Callithrix jacchus: one gene and its partner. The protein of the gene in region 1 interacts with the protein of each later gene in a biochemical or structural test. Links are inferred from orthologs where the notes say so. Each region holds a gene or a part of one and is shown in the gene's direction. Other genes may lie near its edges.

What was found.
Region 2: the proteins of ARHGEF16 (region 1) and TAX1BP3 form a complex in vitro, tested with the Homo sapiens proteins (2 studies listed by BioGRID and IntAct, with this or other methods). The link is inferred for Callithrix jacchus from reciprocal best matches to the Homo sapiens genes ARHGEF16 and TAX1BP3.

What each region holds. Positions count from the first base shown.
Region 1 is NC_133508.1:41,339,353-41,343,149, forward strand, and holds part of ARHGEF16 (rho guanine nucleotide exchange factor 16), read left to right. Parts: coding exon 1-526; intron 527-2,247; coding exon 2,248-2,293; intron 2,294-3,263; coding exon 3,264-3,433; intron 3,434-3,797. UniProt on the Homo sapiens protein: Guanyl-nucleotide exchange factor of the RHOG GTPase stimulating the exchange of RHOG-associated GDP for GTP. May play a role in chemotactic cell migration by mediating the activation of RAC1 by EPHA2.
Region 2 is NC_133506.1:67,210,859-67,215,254, reverse strand, and holds the start of TAX1BP3 (tax1-binding protein 3), read left to right. Parts: upstream 1-1,443; coding exon 1,444-1,482; coding exon of another isoform or gene 1,483-2,017; intron 2,018-3,168; coding exon of another isoform or gene 3,169-3,269; intron 3,270-3,374; coding exon of another isoform or gene 3,375-3,500; exon of another isoform or gene 3,501-3,643; intron 3,644-4,396. Other genes in the region: EMC6 (ER membrane protein complex subunit 6), read right to left, coding at 475-807; uncharacterized protein LOC118153673, read right to left, coding at 1,327-2,017, 3,169-3,269, 3,375-3,500. UniProt on the Homo sapiens protein: May regulate a number of protein-protein interactions by competing for PDZ domain binding sites. Binds CTNNB1 and may thereby act as an inhibitor of the Wnt signaling pathway. Competes with LIN7A for KCNJ4 binding, and thereby promotes KCNJ4 internalization.

The sequences.
Region 1 (3,797 bases):
GGAGCTCCGGCTCGATGCCAGTGGGAACCCAGCCTCTGGGCTCCCGATGGTCCGTGGCTCCCTTCGCGTCAGGGACAATGCCGCCTTCCAGCCCGAGGCCCCGGCACCCCCAGAGCCTCGGCCCCCAGGGCATGAGGAGCCACGGCCCATCATACTGAGCACAGAGAGCCCAGCGGCCCTGAAGCTGGGCACCCAGCAGATGATCCCCAAGGGCCTGGCCGTGGCCAGCAAGTCGAAGACCCCAGCCCGCCACCAGAGCTTTGGGGCAGCTGTGCTCAGCAGGGAGGCTGCCCGGCGGAACCCCCAGCTCCTCCCAGCCGCCAGCTTCTCCCTGGACGACATGGACATGGACACGGACCCCAGGGGCATGCTGAGGCGGAACCTACGGAACCAATCCTACCGGGCAGCCATGAAGGGCCTGGGGAAGCCAGGTGGCCAGGGGGACACCATCCAGCTAAGCCCAAAGCTGCAGGCTCTGGCCGAGGAGCCCACCCAGCCTGCCATTAGGAGCCCAGCCAGACACAAGGTAGGGGCCTGCCCACATGGACCATGGGAGGGGCTGCTAAGCAGAGGGGTGGCCTGACCGGCCCACCATCATCATCTGCATCTCGGCAGCTGCCATTAGTAAGCACCTGCTGCATAAGGGCTCTCAACTGGTTTATTCCAGTTCAGCCCAGTCTGTGAGTGTGAAGATCCCACCTCGCAGAGGAGGCAGCAGAGGCTGAGAAAGGTCAAGGCATCTACCCAGGCCCCTAGACTCTGGTGTCCCTGCTCCCAGCCTTGGTGGAGGGCAGGTCCCTGGAAGGGCCTAGCCTCTGCTTCCGAGCCCTGGCCAGGAGCTGGCCTGCCTGGATGATGGAGTCCAGGGTGGCCTTATGGCACTGACTGGCCTGGCTCCATCTGCCCCAGCAGCTCTGGACAGGGACTCAGCAGGGCAGCCGTGTGGCGGCTGGGGGTTCAGGAGTCTGCATGCTCCCTCTGTACACGGAGCCCTGCTTCCCTGCCTGCTGGCAGTGACTCTAGGTCTGGGAAATGGTGGTGGCAGACCCTTCTCTGGGCAGGGTGTAGCCTGCTGCATGTGCCACTAGGGCCCAGGGGACAGAACAGCCACCTGGGGCTCCTGAGCCCAGCATCCCTCATCCCCCGAGTCACTGTTCCCTATGGCTGGGGCCAGCCTTGGTTTGAGGCAGCCTTGGAGCTGGAAGCCGTGTTCAGGGAGAGCTGCGTGGCACCTGGACACCCACACAGCCAGGACTGGGACTCTGGCCACCCTGCTTGGCCTCGTTAGCTGGTGGCCCTGGGCGCAGGCAGGGCTGGTGAGTAAGGAGAGTTAGGGCAGAGGAAGAAAGGAGAGGACGGGGTGGGGGGTGGGGGAGACGCAAGAGGGACCGGGGAAGCGCTTGAGGTGGGGTGTGGGGCACAGGGCTGAGGGTGCCAGGCCAGGTGCAGCTGGGAGTGCCTCATGTTCCCAGCCAGAAAGGGGAGTTTTCAAGCCCCAACTCATTCCAACAAATCAGCCCCTCTCCTTTTGGGAACCAGCACACCTGGACAAGTGTAGTGTCCCAGCAAAGGAGGGTGGGCTCTGAGCCGGGCACCTGAGCGTGGGGGCTTCCCAGAAACCCAGCCCCTCTCATCACTTCTGCCATCCCGGCCTTCTGCTATGTCCCCCAGGCCCTTGCTTGGGGCTGGACACTGACCCACCCGGTCCTGGTCCCCAGGGGCCTATGTGCTGCCCCACTGTCCCTCCACTGCCCTCTCCCACCCATACCTGCCCTGCCACGGGTTCTCTCCAGGCCTGCTCGATGTTCCTGAGCATCCCCTCATGGTGAGTTCAACCCTTCCTCCTCCTCCAAGCAGCCCTCCTGGACCTGATGGCCCTCAGCCACGTGTCCTGGCCTCTGCTTAGACAGGCGGTCCTGAGGCCCTGTGGAGTTGGCATTTATTGTGCACCTTTTGTGTGCCTGACAGGGCCCCCTCCCATCAGGCACAGCTTCAAACGTGGAGCCGTGAGGTCCCTGGGGTCTCTTTAGCTGGTGGGCCTGGGCTCAGGCAGGGCTGGGGTACAGTGACGCGGTAAGCCTGGGCTCAGGCAGGCTGGGGTTCAGTGTTTCGGTGTGCCTGGGCTCAGGCGGGGCTGGGGTGCAGCGTCTCGGTGGGCCTGGGCTCAGGCGGGGCTGGGGTGTAGCATCGTGGTGAGCCATACTTGCCCTGGCTGACAGCTGCGGTTTCTGTGTCTCCTTTGTGCAGAAGACGCTGGGGCGGAAACGTGGACACAAGGGCTCCTTCAAGGACGGTGAGTGGCTTTGGGAGGTACCGCAGACCGGGAGGGGCTCCAGTAGAAGCTGGTCTCACTGGGACCTCCTGGGGGTCAGGTGGGCGTCAGTTCGGTGTCAGGATTATCAAAGCGGCTTGATGGGGTCCTTCCAGAGGCTGAGGTCCTGAGGTCCCAGTGGCTGGTCTGACCATGCAGCCTTGAATAGTCTAGAAAGATCCAGAAAGTTCCCCTGGACTCTATTCTATGTGATCTGAAGGGCAGGGCACAGACAGAGCCCCCAGACTTGCCCTGAACATCCATATGTTTGCTGGGCTCGGCCTACAGTGGCAGTGTGGGGGACCAAGGCCATATCCGAGGACGCCAGGCCCACGCCACGGGCTCTGTCTCGAATCCGAGGCTGGAGGGGAGCCCTGTGTTGGGGCCTCCAGCTGGAGTGGGGAAGTGCCCACTTAGCCAGCTGGTGGGATATGAGAGCATCCCACGAGAGGTTGACATAGGGAGGTGCCTGCTGCTGGGGTCAAAGTACTTGATGAGGTCAGAGGCCTGGGGGGACTGGGGCCTCAAGTGCCCAGCTCCAGGCCTGGCCTCTGTCCAGAGGCCCCAAGGCACAGTGGCCCGCTCTAGCCCCCAGCAGCTTTGTGGACAGGCATGGGCCCAGGAGGGGACACTGAGGCCTCCTCTACAGAAATCTCTGGGAAAACCATCTCAGGAGGGGCTTGTGGTGTGGGAGAGGTCTCAGGACTGGCGCCCAGCACCTTCCTGCCCAGCACCTTCCTGCCCAGCACCTTCCTGCCCAGCACCTTAGGCGGCCCCCACCCAGAGCCTCCCTCTCCCTCACAGCCGTGGAGACTGTGGGCTCTAGAGGACCCCGCCCAGGAGGGCCTGTCCTGCCTGATCCCATCAAGGGCTCCGAAGAGGCCTTGGGGAGGGCTCAGCCTGTGGGTTCCAGGGAGGCCCAGCCTTTTTCAATCCCCGCTTCTCTCTCCAGACCCCCAGTTCTACCAGGAGATCCAGGAGCGGGGCCTGAACACCAGCCAGGAGTCTGATGATGACATCCTTGACGAGCCCTCCAGTCCCGAGGGAGGCCGGAAGGCGGATGCCACCATTGTGGTCAAGAGCTACCGGCCCGCCCAGGTCACCTGGAGCCAGCTCCCGGAGGTAGCGGTGGAGGGTGGGTGAGGCCGCCCCCTGGAGGCAGGCAGAAGCCACAGCCTTTCCCCCATGCCACTGTTCCTTTCCCGAGCCCAAGTGGCTGGTCCCCAGCAGCGGCCCAGTTCTCCCAGGGACGATGGGCAGCCTTCTCAGAAGCCCCTTGGCTGTGGGCAGCGGACCTGTGGGTCTCCCTTCTCCCTCCTGTGCCCTGCGTTGCCCTGCCCATGTGGGGCTGGCTCAGCACCTGGAGTGGTCACAGGAGGGTGGGCCACCGGGCATGCCAGTTTGCCCTCTACCATCATGCATGTAAGGGGCGGCCCTGCTCAGACTCCCCTCAGGGAGCTGCAGGCACCAGGAGTTTCTTCCCAGG
Region 2 (4,396 bases), on another chromosome or scaffold:
CTCAAGTTTTCTGCCTGCCCTAGCCTCCCAAAGTACTGGGATTACAGGCGTGAATTACCACGCCCAGCCTAGGGAACTCTTAATACATTAACTGTTACTGCTTCTTAGGATGTTAATAATGAGTTCTTTCCTTATGCAGGCCCTTAGGGCCCATTTCTGGATGGCCTATGTGTAAATGCAAGGACTTAACACAAGGCTATAGCCAGTCCGCGCTCTCCAGGAGTCAAATCTTGGCGCTTTTGCACCAATGGCAGACTATGCGTTAAGGTAAGAAAGAACTCTACAAAGTGTCTCACGCTTCATTTAATCTGAAGAATATTACAGGCTCTTCGTCTTCAGATATAAATTATTTATAACGTTACAGAACAAGCAGCGGATCGAACCATTTAAAAACTAGGTAAGTCTACACGGTGTTAACTTCTCGCCAGAGTCCTCCCAATCTGGTGGTTTAAAAAAGTCCCCCGGGCCCCCATTTCAGTAGACGTGCACCATGCCATAGAGGAACGTCCAGAACAGGACGTAGGTGAACAGGCCTCCGATGAGGCCTCCTGTAAAGAGAGGTCTTCGTGATTTGAAATATTTGTTCCACCTCCTTCCCGCCTTGAGAATGAGGAGCAGGGAGAGCAGGACGGAGGCGAGCAGGTAAAAGATGAAGCCGTAGAGGCCGGTGAGGCCGAGGATGCCGGCCGTGGCCCCCGACAGCGCTGACACCGAGGTCCGGCAGTAATCCAGGACGGCGGCGTTGCCCCGCACGGCCGCCTCGCTGATGAACGGCGGCCCTTCCCGCTTGGCCACCACCGCGGCCATCGCACCCCCCGGGGCTCAGTTTCTCGCTTTCTGGCGGGACAACGCGGAGCTGTAGAGAAAACCAAGTTACAAGTGGCGCCCAGAGCTCGGCGAGTTGGGTTCACGCCGCCGCCGCCCCCTCCCCCGGAGCTTCCAAGAGCTGGCACCAGTCCTGGGCCTCGGACCTTCAAGAGACGCCGAGAAGGTTGAGGGTCCGGGCCGGCCGGGAGGCGGTGGCGCGTCTGCGTTCTCCGGCCACGCTGACCCAGTTACCTGGAATACGGCGCCGGACACCGTACTTAGCGTTTCTTCAGGCGGGTAGGAGAAAAGACTCCCGCGACGCCATCTTGCGCTGAAGGCTGCCGGGAGGTCCCGGACTGCGCACGCGCCCAGATCCCACCCCGCCCTCCACGCCTGCGCCGTGGGCGCCCCGGGCACGCTCCACCCCCTCCCCCCCAGCCCTTTTTTTTTTGCGCACGCGCCGGAACTTCGGAAAGTGGAGTGGCGCTTCGGCCGGTGATTGGCTGGCGGGTGTGCTAACTATTCATGAGGGGGCGGGCCGAGCAGGGCGGCCTTTGTTAAGCAGCGAGGGCGCGGCCGCAGGAACTCTTCTGCCGGCTTCTGCGAGTGGGGCTGGGCGACCAGAGTGGGGTCGAGATGTCCTACATTCCGGGCCAGCCGGTCACCGCCGTGGTGGTGAGTGCGCTTGCGCGGGCTCCTCCTCGTCTTGGCCCGACCCCACCTCCCAGAGCGGGAAACTGACACCCCAAGCAGGTTGACAAAGCATCGAACCCGGGGTTCCTGCGAACCGGCGGCCAGGGCTCGAGTCCTCGCCTTGCCGGAGCCGGACACAGCTGCCCCAGCCACGGAACAGGGACGGCCGGGACCCGAGAGCCTCCCTAGACCCTGGACAGAGCCCAGACCGCGCGCGCGGGGCGGGGAGGGCCACGGAGCCTGGGAAAGCGCCCCCTTCCCGGGCCTTCGTGTCCCCAGCCGGGCAGCTGAGGGGGGGCGGGCGCGGATCCCGACGTCCATGAGTCGCAGCCTCTGGAATGAGGAAATGCTTCTTCCATTGCAGCCTGCGCCGCCGCCCGGAGGGAGATCTGGGGGTGGGGCTGTCCCGAGCCTGCTGTGGCAGCCCCTTCCCCCTTTCTGTCCAGCCTTGCTGCCCGGCCCAGGGTGGGCGCTCACACAGCTGGGATGAGCATTTCCTCTTCTTGGATCTCCAACCCTTAAGGCAAAAAAAGTCCAGGCCTTCTTTCTGGCACTTGAGACCTGAGGAGACCCTCTGGGGACTAGCCTAGGCCCCTGTCCACCCTCTGGCTTGTTTTAAGTGCTGGGTACTATTAGATTAGGCAGAGGGAGGGAGGCTGGGATATTAGACTCAGACGCCTGTGTCAAGGTGGGACGGGGCCTGGAGGCCAACCCTTTGGCAGAGGTGGGGAGACCCAGAAAAAAGTCTGTCTGATGGTGCTCGGCCAGAAAAGACGACGTCAAGAAAGACTCAGGTCTCCTGTCCACCTCCCGAGAGCGTTGAAAGGGAAGAAATGTCCGCCCGGTGGCCCGGTGGGCAATGGGTCAAGTGAAAGTCCCTGCCCTGGAGCCGTGGGGGCCTGCTGTGTACTCTCAGATGGGTGTGTCCAGCAGTCAGGTGGGTGGAGGCAGAGAAGTCACTGATAAAGGTGGCACTCAGGCCCAGGCCCGGAGGAAGCATTGCCAGACCAGCTGACAGCTGTCCTAAGCTTCCCCTTCCCTGCAGCCCCACACCAGCCTGGAGCTTTTTTTTTTTTTTTTTTTAACACGGAGTCTCATTCTGTCAGCCAGGCTGGAGCACAGTGGCATGATCTTGGTTCACTGCAGCCTCAGCCTCCCTAGTAGTTGGGATTACAGGCACGCACCACCATGCCTGGCAAATTTTTGTATTTTTAGTAGAGATGACCCTATGTTGGCCAGGATGGTCTCAAACTCCTGACCTCAAGTGATCTGCCCACCTCGGCCTCCCAAAGTGCTAGGATTACGGGCTTGAGCCACCTCGCCCACCCAGCCTGGCTTTTCTAGGTTCCTAGCTGCCCCAGAGAGAAGGTACCAGGTTTGCTCTTTAGCTAGAAGTGGGGCAGGGGCAGGTGAGGAGCCAAGCAAGCCACCTTCTATGTGACCTCCCGCAGCAAATCAGTGACAGCCCTGTCCCCCAACCCAAAGGCCTGTATCCTTCTGACCACGTGGAGCAGGCCTGGAGAAGCTGTTCTGGGCATGAGGACACAGGCCCAGTGGGCCTCAGGGATTATGCTGCCTGTCCCCCTCCCTCATGCCGTGATTGGTCTCACAGCCTTCCCCAAAACTATAGGCCCATGCCCCCCAATTCTAGTAACACCAGGAACATGCCTGACGTGGTGTGTGTGGCCTGGCCTCTCCCTTGAGTCTTGGATTGGGGGTGGGGTTGGACAGGCTGACTCCCCAGTCTCCACTGTCTCCCATGTAGAATTCTGAGAATATTAAAGCCACTTAGGACTCTTCCCCTGAACTCTGGCTCCATAGATCCATCTGCCTTCTGGACACCTGCCCCACAGCTCCTGGTACTCCAACTCGACCTGCTCCTCCTCCTTCTGGGTCTCCATCTGGGTGATGTGTTCAGCCAGGCGAGGTGTCTGGATGCTCCTTTGGACTCCTCCTCTGCATGAGTGCTCCCCAAGGCTGTAGATCTCCATTTTCGGCATCCTGCTTTTGTGAGATGTCCGTTCCTCTACTGACCACGAGTAGTCATTCTAGCAGCAGAGCTGACCATGCCCTGCCCTACTCAATTCCTGAGAACTCCAGTGGGTTGAGGATCAAGGTCAGGCTACTCCTCACCCCCTCAGGCTACAAAGAACCCCCTCTTTGGGAAAGCTCTTTAGGTCTAGTCTAGTTCATCATCTTTTTTTCTTTTCCCCTTCCTGTTAAAACTCTCAACTTTTGGAGTGATCTGGTTTGGCTCCTAGCATCTGCCAACTGGAGGGTGCTTGCCAAGGGCTTTGAAAGGAATCTGGCACAGTTGGGGACCACAGCCCCAGAGCATGGTGGGAGTGTCCTAGAACACTCTGCACTGCACGAGAGCAGGGCCCAGGGCTTAGGGAGATGCCCCTACTCCCCTTCCAGGACAGGATGTGGCCCCAGCCATATACTTGCAGCCTCATCTCGACGCCTAGTTCTGTGTCCCGTGCTGTACACTCGTCTCACCAACACGAATCCACAGCACCTTGAAGCCTGTGCTCTCATCCCTGTGGCCGGCAAACCCTTTCTCCCCTTTCTATGCAAGTTTGGTCTCTGCTTTTCCAGAGCACCTCCTGGGAGATGGGCCTCCCACCCACAGAAGCCGTAGCACCCTGACCCTTGGGCCAGGAGGGGCTTAGAGCATATGTTGACCAAGACTAGGGCCTGAGACTCACAGGAGAAGTGGTAACAGGCTGCGGCCAGAGGGCTGCATGGGTGGGTCGATGTGGCCAAGGTCCTTGTGCCTCCCAGGCTGCCAAGCAGCTGGATTCCTGCAGGGGCCTGGGCCCCACCCCCTTAGCATGGTGCTGAGGCTGCTGCCCACACAGCAGCCTCATTCTCCACCCACCCACCTCCCTCAACT